2 linked regions of the Tribolium castaneum genome follow. The protein of the gene in region 1 purifies or fractionates together with the protein of each later gene. This does not show direct contact. Links are inferred from orthologs where the notes say so. Each region holds a gene or a part of one and is shown in the gene's direction. Other genes may lie near its edges. The genes, in order: DNAlig3 and PNKP.

What was found.
Region 2: the proteins of DNAlig3 (region 1) and PNKP purify together in Homo sapiens (co-immunoprecipitation; 5 studies listed by BioGRID and IntAct, with this or other methods). This does not show direct contact. The link is inferred for Tribolium castaneum from reciprocal best matches to the Homo sapiens genes LIG3 and PNKP.

What each region holds. Positions count from the first base shown.
Region 1 is NC_087397.1:11,969,143-11,978,125, reverse strand, and holds DNAlig3 (DNA ligase 3), read left to right. Parts: upstream 1-3,272; 5' UTR 3,273-3,407; intron 3,408-3,453; exon of another isoform or gene 3,454-3,459; coding exon 3,460-6,021; 3' UTR 6,022-6,052; downstream 6,053-8,983. Other genes in the region: DNA ligase 3, read right to left, coding at 1,469-2,821. UniProt on the Homo sapiens protein: Isoform 3 functions as a heterodimer with DNA-repair protein XRCC1 in the nucleus and can correct defective DNA strand-break repair and sister chromatid exchange following treatment with ionizing radiation and alkylating agents.
Region 2 is NC_087396.1:16,407,924-16,416,661, forward strand, and holds PNKP (uncharacterized protein F21D5.5), read left to right. Parts: upstream 1-4,120; 5' UTR 4,121-4,247; intron 4,248-4,296; 5' UTR 4,297-4,341; coding exon 4,342-5,865; 3' UTR 5,866-6,260; downstream 6,261-8,738. Other genes in the region: DGAT1/2-independent enzyme synthesizing storage lipids, read right to left, coding at 7,951-8,277, 8,317-8,507, 8,555-8,722. UniProt on the Homo sapiens protein: Plays a key role in the repair of DNA damage, functioning as part of both the non-homologous end-joining (NHEJ) and base excision repair (BER) pathways.

The sequences.
Region 1 (8,983 bases):
TGAAATGTAGGTGACGTTGATAATGTTATGTATTTTTTACCGCAGATGGAATTAGATTTTGGCGTTTGGACTGACATTTTTTTGTAAAATAAAATTTTGTTGATACGCAATCATACAATTAATAAGATTTTTGTTGTCCCGACATTTCATATTTAAATTGTAAAATAGAATAACAACGTAAGCTTGCTATTTTAAATATAATAACAAATAATTTTTATTAATTGCAAAAATTTGATCTAATAATAATTTATTATGCTGTTTTTGAATTAATTAGGGTTTAAAAAAACATTAAATTATAAACACTTGTTGGGCAAAGCAATTTTTATAGTTTTAATTAAAAATCCAAAATTTTTTCGTGGCCTACTATAAAGAAAAAGCGAAATGTTTTGTTTTTTCTTAAATATTTAAAATTAATGTAGTACACAAATAGACATATTAAATCAGAAAAAATAAGCTTTTCGAAAATGTCATAGCCAACTATGATTCCTATTTAAAAAAATACAACTTTATGTTATTACAGTTAAACGAATGGTTGAAAAAAATCGCTGATAATATTATTCGATTAGATTATTAGATAAAAACTTGTAAATACGACAACAAATTAAATTTTACGTCCTAGGAAACAAAAGAGCAACAATCGATACCGTTGCTATGGAAAACAAATTAAAAAATATATTAAAAAAAGTTGCTTGAAAAAAATCTGACTTCATTTTCGTGCATAACTGAATGTGCTTTATCACCATACGCGAGTTTGTCCGACACTTTTGAATCACCCTGTAGACTCCAGGAAAGTCAAAAAGCACATATAGTAATAGATTATTTTTTTAATGATTCATTTTTGTTTATTTCTATTCTTAATTTTTGTTTGTGTTATGTTATTGTTTATTGATCTTGTGGTTATCTTTGTAATTTTATTTTTTCCAGTTAATTTTTTAATTACTTCAGTAATTCTGTAGTTAGTGCTCGGATAGACTGAAAGCATTCACACAATTTTTCCTTGCCTCAAACCCCTATATGGTATTTAATTCCGTTATATGAGCAATGAGTTCCAAATATGGCTGTGGTAAGTAACTTATTATTGTTTAATTAAAGAAAAATTAAAACAGTAAAACGTGAGTTTATGACTAAACTTTAATAACGTGTTCGCTCACTTTAAACATTTTAATTTTTGGTCGTATGTTGCAGAACCGATAAGAAATTAATAAATTGAAAGTGATGGATTCGGTTTTAATGCTTTAATTGGATTAAGCCCACGATATATTTTTATTATTATACCGCATTATAAACAGTACCGAGTGGAACATACTTATTAAAAATTAACATCAGTTTGAATGTTATGCACATGTGGAATTATTGATTAGCTATTATTACAACACGTAAACGGGGTAAAGTAAAATCGAAGGCGAATTCGTATTTTGTATTTATTTTCTTCTGAAAAATTGATAAAAGAGTAATAATAACAAATTGTTTAATCCTTATGGCAAGGATCCCACCGGACTGTATACCGCCTATAATCCTGCAAATTCTCTTCTGCTACTGTATCTTTAATCCACTCCACAATAACATGTTTTGCGCTGTTGGCACAGTGAATCGTCGGCTGTGAAATAGTGTCTTTCAAATGCAAAACATGAGTCGCTTCTTCGGGTTTGTCGTTGGTGAGAACCGACCCACCGTAGGCAATAAAATATTTCACCCACTGGGCGTGTCTCTCTTTCACCCCCTCCTCCAAAAACAACCTAACATTTTCGAAATAATTCGGAATCGATTTGCGTTTCTCTTCGGAAATTTTCCGCCTTTTCTTCGGGGGTTCTTTGCGCCCCTGACAAGTGCTTATCACAGTGGCGATGTCTTTGCACGTCTGGAAGACCGAATAGGCCTCCGGATGCAGTCCGTTGAACACATGTTTCGCTCCTGCGCTCATCCTTAAGTCGTGTTTGATCAAGCGAATGACCACTTTCAAGTCATTCGCTGTGCACTTTTTGATGAAAGTTTTGAAGCGGTTGCACTGATCTTCTTCCTTGGACAGCGTGGTCAAGGATTCCAGAAAATCGTCCACTTCAAAGAGGCTCAAGGTGCTTTTTTTCGCCGGTTTACACTCGGCGTTTTCTTCGAAGAAATGTTGGATGGTCTGGCCCACATCGCCCTGTTCCAAGTGAGCAGTCATTGTTTCTTCACTAACCGCGAAAATCTTGCTAAATATTTTAATCAGTTGCTTGGTCTGCAAGTGAAACACGCGTTTGTTCACCGCAGGGAGGAGCAGTTTGCACCAGAGAACGACATCGCCCTTAAAACCGCTCCCGTCGCAACCTTTCGTGAAAATCTCGCGGAAAATGCTGATTTTTTCGTTGGAACTTGACACCTTCGGGAGCTTCGACACGATCCTGCGAAACTCGCGGAAACAATTATCCTTGTGAACCTCCTCAGTCGTGCAATTATCAGATAAATTACTCAAATTGTCGTCGACGACAAGCTGCGGCTGCGGCTTGGTCCCCTTTTTCGGTCTTTTTTTACTAAACTTGGCTTCAAATTCCCGGTTACATTGCGAGATCTTTTCCAAGATATTCACTTTATCGTCGGGGTCGAGTGACTCCCAGCCGTCGATGTCCAGGGGGCCCTCGATTCTTTTAGTTGTTTGTCTCTGTTTTAAAAATGTTTCAAAGATACAGCTTACGTGGTACCAAGTTTTCATTTTACCGGAACCCAGAGGGTTCGGGATTAATTTAGCAATGCGCAAATCGCCTTGAACGCACTTCTGGCGGCATTTTTTGCAAAGGGCGCGCCCTTGCCTGGCCACCTCCACGGCGAAGGGCTTCTCCTCCATCTGGAAGTTAAACTATGTAAGACTCACACAAAAAGGCAACAAACACGCATTCCCATTAAGGGCCGGTTTATACAAAGCTTTGTTAAAATTTAATTCGTTGTTAAAGTTAACAACACAAATGGACCAATCAAATTTGTTCAATTTGGTCACGTGATCAGTTAATCACGCTTTTAATTGCAGATTAAATTAATGACACTTCTATACACCGGTCCTTAATAAGCGGCAAAAAATTATTCAAATATTAAGGATAAACAAATTTTAGTATATTTAAGCTCGCCCAGGTGGCAGGTTATGTCCAATGATAACAGAAATGATAAAGATAGGTATTGAAAATAAATTGTTGTAGGGAGAATGATTTGTTATTTCAATAAAGTATTGTTTAATGGTTAAATGAGTCGTTTTAATTATAAAATACCTTTCTTTTTCCTCAAAAACTGGCAACAACACTAACAGCTGATCAGTTCAACGGTTACACGTTACCCACTGTACAAACCTATTTATTTATTTTATTTTAGCGAAACAATAAAGTTTACGTCTTTGCCTTGCATTTGATTTAATTCTTCCAGGTCTTTTTTCTGCACTGAAGGTATAAGTTTATCAAAAATTGAGTATAGTGTGTTACATAACCTCACTTTTAGATGTCAGATGAGCTTGTTGAAAAGCCTTTTCTGGTGGAAGTCGCAAAGCAGGGGCGTGCTGTTTGTAAAAAATGCAAGCAGAAGTGTGCCCAGGGCGAGTTGCGCATTGCCAAATTGGTTGCCAACCCCTTTGGAGAAGGAAAAATGAAAAACTGGCATCATGTCAATTGCCTTTTCGAAGTTTTCTTGAAGCAGAGACCCACAACTAAACGAATTGATGACCCTGTTGAGGATATCGACGGCTGGGTGTTGCTAGATGACGAGCAAAAGAGCGATATTTTGAAGCGTGTCGAGGAATGTAACAGTTTTTTTGAAACTAAACATGGGGTTAAGCCTAGTCCGAAGAAAACGCCTCAGGAGGCAAAACCCAGTACTAGTAGTAAAGACAGTTCGGGTCCAGTTATCCAGTTTGATCCGTCACACAAGGACAATCAATTTCGGGAATTCCGGAGAGTTGTGGCCGATATTAGCAACGTCAGTAGTTATCTTGAAAAGACAAGTATTGTGAGTAAAATGTTCACAAAAGGGAGCGACGGGACGGGCTTTAAGGGCGATATCGTCCTTTGGTGCCGCTTGCTCCTCCCTGGTTTCGTCAAACGCATCTACAACCTCCAAAGCAAACAGTTGGTTAAGTTATTTAGCAAGATTTTCCATTGCGATCAAGACGCAATGTTGGAGCATTTGGAACAGGGGGATGTCAGTGAGACGATTCAGGTCTTCTACGAGAGGAGTAAATCGTTTAAACCGGTCAAGAAAAGTACCCTAACCCTCCAACAAGTGGATGAGTTCCTTCAAGACCTCACTAACTTGACCAAAGAAGAGGAACAAACAGCACATTTGAAAACTTTTGCGTCCAAATGCACCGCAAATGACCTAAAAATCGTCATTCGATTGATCAAACACGATCTTCGGATGAACGCAGGGGCGAAACATATTCTGGATGGGGTACATCCTGACGCTTATCAAGCCTTCCAGTCTTCGAGGGATATCAAGGCTGTTATTGATCGTTGCTTGAAAGACAAGGGCACCAAAGCCAGAATCGAGCTAATGACCCCGGTACTACCCATGCTTGCGGAAGCCTGCAAATCGGTGGAGCAAGCCATGAAGAAGTGCCCCAACGGAATGTACTCCGAGATTAAATACGACGGTGAGAGGGTACAAGTGCACAAACAAGGCTCCGAATTTAAGTACTTTTCGAGGAGTTTAAAGCCGGTATTGCCACACAAAGTCGCACATTTTAAAAACTATATCCCTCAGGCGTTTCCGCACGGAACGGATTTGATCCTTGATAGTGAAATCCTAATGATTGATACACAAACTGGTAAGCCGCTCCCGTTTGGTACTTTGGGGATCCACAAAAAATCCGAGTTTAAAGACGCCAGTGTGTGTCTTTTTGTCTTCGATTGTATTTACTACAATGGGGATGTCCTCACCGATAAACCCATCTCGTTCAGGAAGAAGATCCTGAAAGAGAATATGACGGAAATCCCCAACCATATAGTCTTCTCAGAGATGGAGGAAATCCACGATCCGAACGATTTGACTCAAATGATCGCCAAAGTGCTCAAGCTCGGGCTTGAGGGCTTGGTGCTCAAAGACATAACGAGTGTTTATGAGCCGGGCAAGCGACATTGGCTCAAAGTCAAAAAGGATTACCTTTTTGGGGGCGCGATGGCCGACAGTGCCGATTTAATAGTCCTAGGTGCGTGGTACGGTACTGGGAAAAAAGGGGGCATCATGTCGATTTTCCTAATGGGTTGCTACGACGAAGCCAATGATCGGTTTTGCACCGTGTCAAAGGTGTCAACCGGACACGATGATAAAACCCTCGAGAAGTTGCAAACAGAGCTTGATATGGTCAAAATCAGCTCGGATCCAGCCAAGGTACCCGATTGGTTGCATTGTACCAAAACAATGGTTCCCGATTTCGTGGCACGGGACCCGAAAAAACAACCCGTTTGGGAGATAACCGGAGCGGAATTCACCAAACACGAGGTGCATACGGCTGATGGTATCTCGATAAGGTTCCCTCGGGTTACGAAAATAAGGGACGATAAGTGTTGGCAGTCAGCAACTTCGCTCAAAGAACTCAAAGTATTGTTTGCCAAATCGAAGGAACATACCGATGTTAGTTTACTTCTACAAGGGACGGCTGAATCTTCGCCTAAGAAACAGAAAACTTTGGAAAGCTTTGTCAAAAAAAGGGGTTCAGAGGATCCGCAATCGTCAAACTCTAAGAAAGTTAAAAAGGAACCGAAAACTGTAAAAATAATAAATCCACTACCGGACTATTTTCACAATATTAAGGTAGTGTTGGAAGACAAAGTGAGAGAAAAACAGTGGGATTTGATTAGGTACTTTATTGCGTACGGTGGCCAAATTTGTAAACATGGAGAATCGGAAAATGCCACTCATATGATACATTTGAACAGTATGGTACCTGAAATTGATCAGTGTAACCCGGACGTTAAACATGTTACCGTTGATTGGATTAAAAACTGTGTGGTTAATGAAAGTGTGTGTGATTATAGACCGTTTGTTGTACGCTGGAAGCCCAGTTAATTATTTATTGAATAAAATCTTCCTGAACAGATATTTGGTTATTTATCTTCGCAAAAATTATATTATATACAAAATGTTCCGTTTAAACCCCACATTAGAAGTATTGGAAGTTCTAAAAAAGATAGGCATCTGAAAATTTGTGTACAATTATAATCTTTTAGGTCCTGCTCCATGAAAATATTTTCAAGATGGCAGGCAGCACTTCCGGTTATATCGGAAGTCGCTATCAACTTCCTTATTTTAAATGAAAAGCTATACTGTTTAATGGGTTTTTGAATTACTAGAATTATTTTAAGGTAGATTTTATAAGCTTTCCTTATACCTAAATTTAGCCGTTTACGAAATATTTATGGTTTTTAATTTATTTTGAATTTGTAACTTCCAATTAAAAAATCGATCTGCTACTTTTAAAAATTTGGAATTTTTTTTAGCTCATTTGAAAGAGGAAGCCTAGATCTTTCTTTTGGTGTTTTCAAATTTCTAAAAAAATAATCTTAAACTTCAAATTTTTAAAGTTAAGTTTGCACCCAAAACTCATTTTTTTCAAATAAAATGCCAAAATTTTTATAAATATTTTATATTTATATTTTTTATATAATTTTAGGTTTTATAAATAAAACGTAAAATTTAATTCTGCATCGATCTGTATTAGCATTCCCTAAACTTATGTTTAATAGTTTTTAAGTTACAATAAATTTTTGTTGGGATTGAAAAATTCATTAGCCATAGGTCTATTAACTTCATTTTCAATTTTGAATACACTGACGAAGACATAGACCTTTTTTAATTCTCTAAATATGATTTCGAAATCTCGAAAACTAAGCGAGTTACCGATTTTTTAAGTGACAGGTACAAATTCAAAAATTTTCAAAAAATTCTAAATATCTCAAAAACGGTTAAACTTAGGTATAGGAAAAGCTGCTAAAAACTTCCTTAAAATAACTCAACTAATCCAAAAACGCAGTGAAAAACATAGCTTTTTATTTAAAATAAGAAAGTTAATAGCGACTTCCGGTATAACCGGAAGTGCTGTCATCTTGAAAATATTTTCATTGAGCAGAACTCAACGGATTATGACTGAGTACCCACTTTTAGATAAATATCTTTATTAAAACTGTCACAACTTCTAATGTGGGATTTAGACGGAAGACCTGTATATTATTAGCAATCCAGGCCTAGTTGGCCCATGGTTTTATGGATGATTCTTTTCCCCTCTTCTCTGTCTTCCCATTTCCTTCTTTTATTTCTGGTTTTAGTTGGATCACAGTTCCTAAGTATACAAAACTTTTTACTTCTTCAAACTTGTACCTTTTTCCTATTTCTGTTGTTTTACTTAATTTTCTTCCTGTGTATACTGTTGTTCAGACAATTTCATGTATTTTGTTTAATTTTCGTTTATAATTAATCCCCTTTTTCTTGCTTCCCTTTCTAGACTCAACACTACTTTTTTTAGTTCTTCTGCACTTGTTGTTGGAAATACTAAGTCATCCGCGAATGCTAGACGTTGGTGCCATTTAGGATAGTATATAAGACCGTTTTTATATATTTCTGTCTCTGATAACTTTTTCTAGAATTAAACTTAATAGTATTAATTAAATTAAATAGTATCGACCTTCTTTTACTTTAATTTTTCTAAAACCTTTTTTTATTCTGACGTTACTTCTGCCATCCCTAACAGCTTTCCTTTTACTCCAAATCTTCCATGTCCTCATACAATTTTTTTCTAATCACCCTATCGAAGGCTTGTTTAAATTTTATAAATAGTAGATGTGTCTCTGTATTCCCAAAAATTATAAATAAAGTAAAAAATTTTAAATATTATTAGGAGCTAAAGTGATACTTTACGTGGCCAAGCTGTTTTTGCCTAACGTAATAAACAACTCGAAGGCAAATAGCGATGTTAGTTTAGATTAGATACTTTTATACTTTTGCAGGATAGTTCAAAATAAAAAAAAGAGAAAACGACAATGGATGTATTAGCTGTTTCAAAACTATAAAAACGCCAAGGTCGCATTTTACCGAATAATTTTTTTCAATAAGATTGATAAAATTGTAAAATAGTTATTAATAGTAGAGTATAAAATGTTACTTCTGGGCCAGAACATTTGGCGTCTTAAAAAACAAGTCAGAACCTTACAAATTTAGCTGTTTGCCCAAAAGCAAACAACCGAATAGGGCCTAAAACCTCTCATAAATCATTAATTTTTATCCACTCCAAAAATTCCCAAATATATGTAGGCCACCAAAAATTGGGCATACGAAAAACAGGGTAAAATCCTACAAATACACTCTAAAAAACTAACAAAATACCTTGTTTTTACACACCCCAAAATGGCTTTTTACTTCTGGGCCAGGACATTTGGCGTCTTAAAAATCAAGGTAGAATCTTACAAATTTAACTGTTTTCCCAAAAGTCAACAACTAAAAAAGGCCTAAGATCACTCAAAATGCATTTATTTTTATCCACCCCAAAAGTATCCAAATATGTGTAGACCACCAAAATTTGGGCACATGAAAAAATAGCGTAGAATTCTACAAATTTGTTGTTTTTCTAAAAGTAAACATCCGAAAAAGATCTAAAAAACCTACAAAATGTCTTGTTCTTAAGCCCCCAAAATGACTTTTTATTTCTGGACTAGGACATTTGGCGTCTTAAAAATCAAGGCAAAATCTTACAAATTTAGCTGTTTGCCCAAAAGCAAACAACCGAATAGGGCCTAAAACTTCTCAAAAATCATTAATTTTTATCCACCCCAAAAGTTCCCAAATATGTGTAGGCCACCAAACGTTGGGCACACGAAAAACAGGGTAGAATCCTACAAATTTACTATTTTCCCAAAAGTACCCATCCGAAAAAGATCTAAAAAACTTACAAAATGCCTTGATTTTAGACACCCCAAAAATAGCTTTTCATTTCTGGACCAAGCCAATTGGCGCATGCAAAAATCAATTAAAATTACCT
Region 2 (8,738 bases), on another chromosome or scaffold:
TAAAAATTAAACTTATTAGCAACATTAAAACAGAAGAAGCCAAAAAAATAAAAACGAAAAATTGCAAAAATTACAAAAAATCGAGTAATAATATAAAAAATATTGATTTAATTAAAAGTTGTCTCAAAATACCAAGTAATGAATATTTCAAGCGTCTGGTAAAAAGAACAGATCGGAAAGATTCAAGGCGTTGTTGTTATACGTTGTTAAAATTATGTTAAATATAATTCAGGTGGGTGTAGAGAAAAATAAGCCGCAGCTTAAAGCTACTACATTTTAGAAAAATAATATATAAATTAAAAAAACACTGAATGCTCCTTTTAGAACTAAATGCCACTTTACACCTAAAATCCAAGCTCAAAGAAGTAAATCGGACTACTCTATTAAAGCACTACTTTTTGGATGGCGTGTATGAAAATACGGAGCACAAACCGGCTTTTCTTTATTTTGTCGTGTTTGCGTTTGTCGGTTTTGGGAGTTAAATTATCGAGACGTCTCGGTAAATCTCCCGTTCGCCGCATGCAATTAGAATTAATCTTATTGGGTGTGTATGTAAAATTTATGTGCCGTATCTGTCCACTATCGTGGAATCTCTCATAGTGGGTGGCGAGTTGGCCAGTGCTATGTCTTATCTAAGTTCCTATGCTTTCACTTTCAGCCATGAATGGCCCCATAAATGCGAATGAAGTGCTTTTCTGCGGGTTGCTTTATCTTAGGGACTACGGATACAACAAACTTTTCCCTAAGCTCGACGCAAATCGTTTAATATGTTCCACTTTTCAAAGAGCGTGTCCCACTAAATACCGGCTTAAGAACCGAAGATGATTTACAGCCCAACTTGCGATAACGATATTAGCCTAAATCGTTGTTTAAAACAGCGCGTAATCTAGCCAACATTAAAAAAATCACCAACCGCCATAATGACATAATTCCCTTTAAACACTAAGCCTCTTAAGCACCTGCACTGCGATAATTTCGGGATAATCGGATCGGGAAAGCAGTTTTGAATGTAAAACGATTTTTACCGAAAAATAAAACAGCGAAAGCAAATTCTCAAGATTAAAACGTTGCACCTAATTTAATCTCTTAATTAACCGGTGCACGGGATTAATAGCTCCAATAGAATTGTCTTATTAAATTTCTGGCTTTATCCCGGGGCGAGGCGTTGATTTTTAACAAACGGCGGCGGAAATTGCGAGAAAAATCAAGTCGGGCTTGCCACCGGAAACCGAACATGTCCCAAACTTTACGATCGATAATTGTTAGAAAGCGTTTAATGAGATGGACGAGGTCTAATGGGAATCTGGAGAGGTCGCAGCCGGGAAAATATCACGCCACTGACCGCACGATCAATATTTCAAATATTTTTTAAATTCCGACAAGAAAGTGATAAATTCCGCACAATCCCAGCTGTCAAAAACTGAATTTTGGATTTCGGAGCTCATTTTATCCGGTCACGTAAACTTAAAATATTATTTGGGAAAAAGTAAATGATGTGTGCTGTTTGCACTAAAAAGAATTATTTTTCGGTGTAAGTAATCTTGTTAGGGACGTGACTTAACTTACAACAGAGTGTCGTAAACACTGGGTACTAAAACGGAAAAACACCTCCCTAATTGCACAAACTAAGTTCTGTATCCAAATTTTATTCCGGTGTGTACACGACTTTGATTTTACTTCTGACTAGATGGTATAAATTTTATGTGAAACGAAACTCAAGACGAGATCAGTTCGGAAACATGAAAAATCTTTCAATGTCGCACACAAAACAAATTTGAAAGAAGCACTAACCCGGCGCATCCACCAAAATTAATTACCAGCCCAGAAACTAATTTTCTATTTTGTAAATGTTCTAAATAGCGATTTTGCTGCATCAAATACCCACTTGTTGGTCTGTGACAACAATTTCATCAATTTATCATCTAATAGAAGCCGTGACAGTTTACAGCTGTTTGTGCGTTTTTAGACTGTGGCGATAATTTATATTTCTGTCGCCTCATATTTCGACCTATGTATTCCGACAAAGGATTTTTTTCTATCATAATACAAAAGAGTTTTTTGCCACAACTGCGTTGTTGATGAAAACAATAATGTCTACGGTGCTACTAATTGGCTCTTTCAAAGAGTTTTCGAAAAAAAAAAGTAATAAGAAAAATACAATAACGTATAATATATACGAGGATAGGATAATTAATTCGTACAACTGCTTTTTCAATAATTTTTATGTTTCATGTAGTCCTGTCCTTTCCTAGTGTGACATTAAATTTTACCAAATTCAGCCAAGCAATTTTTAATTGCTGTCTTATGAAGTGTCATAAGTTTCCGGTTTTTTTTAAGAAATGGTAAACCTAAAGTTCGAACTGTAAAAAAATATTTAAGTATTTAAAATCCGTTAAATTTTGTTAAAACTGTATTCAAGAATTTCACTGGGGCCATAAAGAACCTAAGAGTGCACCACGTTCAGAAAAGTCGAAAAGAGCTTCTCCTTTAGAAATGGTGAAGAAAGTACACAAAACGGTATTGTAAGATAGTTCAGACCTTGATAGTTTATAAAAAGCAAATACATCATATCTTTTATCAAGTTTTGGATTTGAAAAAAAAATTGGCAAAATGGGTGCAACACAACAACGAAAAAATTAGATCTGGAGCTATTTTAGCGCAATCGAATGGATTTTATTCGCCAATTTATAACAACTAGGCTTGAGCCCACATTCAAGAATTAAAAAAACATGCAAAAAAGAAATATAAATCAAATTTTAAAGAAATGACTGCTACAATTTTTTTAAGACTTACAAGAATCGTCCAACAAGGATGGGATAAAGACCTGACCTAATCAGGTGCATATACAAGGTGTTTTTCGAGCTCTACCATTGAGATCTCACTTATTATCAGAGATACGAGGTCGGTTAAATTAGAATAAAGTTGCGCATTTTTATACTGAACAATTACCTAATTTTTAGTTTTTAAATTATTGGAAAAAAATTGTAATTTTTGTTTTAATTTTTTCAAGCAAAAACCAAAAGAACTAGGCGTTTTTAACTAAGATGTTTAACTATGCATTTTTCTACAAATCATCTAAACCCGTCATTGTATTTTCCAAGAGGTTCTTGATGTCAAAGTTACAACACCCAAATTTGGTTTTTCTTATGAAAGACATATTTGCTTTATCTATTTTTCAAAAGTGTTTTTATTCCTGATTACAACGATGTATCACATAATATGATCGAATCTTACATCCTGGTCAAAATGGAGAAAAAAGCATTTTTGTGAAGAGTCCTTTGGACAAAACGTTAACAACTTTGTTTTTAAACAAACTAGATTTTAGGGATTTAATTGAATGTGGTTCTGGAAGGTTCACATTTCTTCTAAGCTTACTTATTTAAAAACCAAACAACGTGATAATCTAGAATTTTATTCTTCGCAAAACAAAACAAGACAAAGTTATAAAAATTCTGCTTGCATATTTATTAGAACTGTCAAAATTTAGATTGTTAAACAACAATTTTAAGGTATTTTCCTAGGCGCTCTTAGCAAAAACGCTTTTTTCTTAATTTTAATCTGCATATGAGATTCGATCGTATCATGTGATACATCGTTGTAATCAGGAACAAAAAGCCTTTTCAAAAATACAAATATCAAATATGACGTACATAAGAAAAACTAAAGTCAGATGAATGTCCTACTCAAAAACGTTTGATTCTTTTAATTTTTGCTTAAAAAGTAGAAACGAAAATTACAATTTTTCTTTGAGATAATTGTTCAGCATAAAAAAGCGCAACTTTGCCCTAATTTAACCAACCTCGTATCTCTTACAATAACTGAGATCCTCATGGTGGAGCCCGAAAAACGGACACCCTGTATAACTACAAGGAGATTATACCGAAAAATAAAAAAATGTTTGGCTAAATTGATCTGAGCACAAATCAGAAAAATATATTGACCACCGTTTTGTAATTTATTCATAGACTTCTATAACAAAAAAAATGGTAATTTTTCAAGCAAACTACAAATTAGCCACTTACCAACATTGAGGAAACTATGAAGGGATCTGTGGGAGAGAACATTTCGTAACTTTTAGAATAAGCTACGCCACTGGATTGATTCTACGTCAGTGGTCGTAGTTCCAAATCTATTGTTAGTAGTTCGAATGACCACTTTAAAAATCATTAAAGTTGCGTTTTTCGACTTAGAAAACGATATTTATCTCACTTTTTATAGTTTAAATTATCTCGTAGTATTTGTGTAAGGTAATAAAATTGACAACCGTATTAAATTATGTTAATTATGAATATTTAGGTAATGCATACTATCCTCCATAACCTCTTATTTGCGTAAAATGTCATGGCTCTTTCTTCGCGAATTTGTTACTTAAGATGCGTAAAAAACGCCCAGAAAAGGATCACTTTGCCTCACCAAAAGGCTGTAATAATCGGCCGAAACGAAGAAACGGGAATCACGGACTTACACGTATCCAGAAATCACCTCGAATGTACCGCAGACTTGGACTCCTCAAAAGTCCTCGTAAAAACCCTCGGTAAGTCCTATTCCGGGTGCAACGGTTACGCCTTAATGCAAAATGAAACATATACTCTCAAACACGGCGATCGAATCGAAGTCAGACTCGGTTTCCACGAATTTGATATTATTTTTGAATCTCAAGACGAACCCGTTGTTAAAAAACCAAGACTAGATTTTTTCGCAATGAATTCCAATAACTCCAATAAGAATTTCTCAAATGCGGGCAAATGGGAGGAGATCGACGGTCGGGACCTACTCATTTTTACGACAGACAACTGCGAGCCCCAATCAACAATTGCAGCGTTTGATCTTGACGGAACCTTGATCAAAACCAAATCGGGGGCGCGGTTTCCGAAAGACCCCAACGATTGGGTCTTGAACATCAATTCAATCCCTCAAAAGCTGCAAAAACTCCACGACAAGGGCCACAAAATTGTCATTCTAACCAACCAGTCGGGCCTTAGTAACGACTTTAGTAAAGTCAAAGGCTTCAAGGGAAAAATCGAAGCAATAATCGCGAAATTATCAGTCCCCGCACAAGTTTTCATCGCCACTGGAAAGTCGATTTACCGCAAACCAGCCCCCGGCATGTGGAACGTCCTTAGCCAGTCCAAAAATGGGGGCTTAGCGATCGACATCGAGAAGTCTTTCTACGTGGGGGACGCCGCCGGACGCGAGAAAAACTGGGCCCCCAAGAAGAACAAAGACCACTCGATTTGCGACCGACTTTTCGCCCTGAATGTGGGGCTCAAGTTCTACACCCCTGAGGAGTATTTTCTCGGCGCTTCGTCGGTGCCCCATGTAATGCCCGAGTTTGACCCGAGGAAGGTTGGCAGCAATGACTACCCCCATTTCGCCTCCGATAAGCAAGAAGTTATCATAATGGTGGGGACCCCAGGGTCGGGGAAAAGCTACTTTTGTAAGAACTTTCTCGTGGCAAAGGGGTACGTCCATGTCAGTCGGGATAAACTGGGGTCGTGGCAAAAGTGTGCCAAAATGTTGGAGGATTGTCTCCAGAAGAAGCAAAGTGTGGTGATTGATAACACGAATCCTGATAAGGAGTCAAGGCAAAGGTTCATCGATGTGGCGAAACGGAATCAAGTCGATTGTAGGTGTTTCCTTATGACGACGAGTCACAAACAGGCCAAGCACAATAACAGGTTTAGGGAAATGACGGACAAGAGTCACACTCCAGTGGGGGATTTGGTCCTCAACTCATATAAAAAGGGCTTTCAGGAACCGGAAATGGCCGAGGGGTTCTCGGAAATTGTTAAAATTCCGTTCATTCCGAAATTTGATAAGGCTGAGCATGAAAAGTTGTATAAAATGTTTTTGTTAGAGGACTAATAACACAATTTTGTGTCACGGTTGACCTCAACATGTCAAATGTTTAAAAGAAATGCCCAAGTCTAATCTCAGTTTTCCATTATACCTGATACCACAGCTGATACCTTTCTCTTGAAGACAGTATACAAGTGATTCAAATGTCTCGGACGATCTCTTAGGAAGTGATAAATGGCATCAAACTGAGTTAAAAGCTTTTATGACAAGAATTGTTTGAGCCTTTTTTCGCTGGATTTTTAATTTGAGTTTTTGGCACTTTAGATCATTTTTTTAAATTTATTTAGCATATACATCATGCAACATCTGTTAAAAAACACCAATTAGCTGTTTCGAACATTTAATAAACTCGTAAATTAGCCAATAAATCAAATTTGACATCATTGGAAACAAAACAACAAATAAACGGTGGCTAAGAAAAACAAACAAACACAATATATTAAAAGTTAAAAAACAAGTTGCTTGGGGAAAACTCTGACTTAATTTTTAACGTTTACTAAACGTCCCTTATTACGATACGACAATTGGTTCGACACTTTTGAATCGCCCTGTATAAAAGAAAATATATCATCGACCTTTTTCGAAAAAAAATTAAGACTTAGTTTTATTTAACATTAAATTGATAAAATAGCAGTTTTGTAAATTTTAGTAAAACAAGAACAGCTTGCAAATGTTTTGTTTTAGTAACAATTTAGACATTAATTGTGAGAAAAAGACATCGAACATTTTAAGAAAGATTTTCTTCACTCGAAATACCTAAACATAACTCTCAAAATTCATGTAGTATTTTATAATGTATCACAATTTTAATAATATGTGAATTCACGTTTAGGAAAATTTAACGTCCTGGTTTCTAAATCTGTAGATGCCGATTAAAAAAAAGTTCGAGAGTATAAATTAATAAACTACTCATTAGTATAAACCCACCGTATAAACTAATCAGAATTTTCTGACAAATTCTTATAATCTGTTTTATAGTATTTTATTTTTTATTTTTAACTGTTTTATTAACTCGTTTTTTTAACTCAATTTACAGCCATTCCAGGAATAATACAACCTCACACCAAAATACAGGATTCTGTTTATATTTAATGTTTTTTGCGATAAGAGTTTTTTGTTGTGAATTTAAAATGGGAGAAGACGATTATTTAAATTGAATTAATACATTGGGTTCTAAAATTTACATACATTGCCTTGAAGTAATAACATGAAATACTCGTACTATCTACATCTGAAGTACTACAACTGTTGAATAATTTTTGAAGTGTTTTTCTAATTTCTGGTAGTTTATAAAATGGAAGTCGGTAAGTAAATTGAGTGGTAATTTCTTCGTAAATTTTGCTGTCCCGTTCGTTTTTGCAAACATACAGAGATGGGCAAAAGTAAGGAACCAAGCGTTTTGTGTCTAAACTATGTACCTTACGAAAGAAACAATTAATACCTCATCAAGTACTTTAAAAGTGTGATCATTTTTCAAGAATAAAGTTTTTCGAAATTCCTTTTAGTTTTCGAGTTATTCAAAAAAATTTTTTTTTCAAATGGCACCCTAACAAAGTTGGTGAATCAAAGTAGAATTCTTATCCACCGTTCCTATATTACTCGAATAAAAACATCCATAGATACAACCACTTCGGCCAAGAATATTCCCAAAATCTTCGTAGTGCGATCGAACCTCTACTTTAATAATTTATTAAAAAAACATTGATTTAAAAACAATAGGTACTATTGCATTAGAAGTCAATTTTCGAGCATAATCTTTTACCAAAAAAAAATCAGCAGTTTTTGTTTATTATACACGTTTTTATATTCAATTTAAAAAAAGTGCTATTGAAGTCTCAACATTTTTTCGAAAAACGTCGATGAAATATTTTCTTTTAGATCTTGCAAACAGAAAGGTATCGGATATAATTAAAAATTGAGCTTAGTCTTAGACATTTTTTTTTCAAACATAAGAATCTTCAAGGAGTGTGAAAGAAAACTACCAAATTTTGTACTATCGTCCTTATTACTGTACATCCACCAATCACATAAAAATAAATAAAACTTTAAGTACGTACAAATCCAACAATAATTAAGCTACGGAATGTCCCTTCACTCTTCATGCTGTATCGAATTCCTGGCCCTAAAATACGGTATTCGGTCCATGATCCCGTACAATATGCTCCCCGGTATCCTCTGATGCCTCTTGATGAGCTCGTTCAGACTGGCCGCGACTTTGGCTTGCAAGTCCTCGGGGGTCAAGTTGGGGTCGTAGGCTATGGGTTTCCCCACATGACTGACCATTTTCACGGGGAATCCCCCGTAAATGGGCGCGAAAGGAAATTTGAAAATGGCATACAACCGCAGGAAAATCCTGCGGCCGATACTCAAAGTCCGAAAGGCCTCGCGAAGATTCTCTGTAAACATCGGAATAATCGGCTAAAAAAAATCAAAAAGGGGCCGCAGAAAGGCACTCACAACTTGCGCCTCGAGGGCCACTTTGGCGAAGCCTAGGCGCCGTTTCCACATTAGGTTGTAGTGGTGGCTGAACTGGGCCTCATAAACTCCCCCGGGGGAGATCGCGAGGACGTTGCCCTCCTTGAGGAGGTTGGAACAGGTCTGGATCGTGCCCGGAATGACTTTCATGCAGTCGGCGATAATACTGAAACCTATCTCTTGATTTATTTTGATTTTTTTTGGCGCTGTTAAGCCTGACCTGGAATTCTAAACAGGAAATAGTCGGCAACGGTGTGGACCAGTCTGTTTTTGTAGAAGAGGGTCTTTGCGAGGAAATAATAAATGTCGATCGGAATGGCCCCATGGTAGTAAATTATTAGCGCGGGGCCGTTGTCTGGGATGTTTTCGAGACCTTGGATTTCATACCCTTGAAATAATTACTC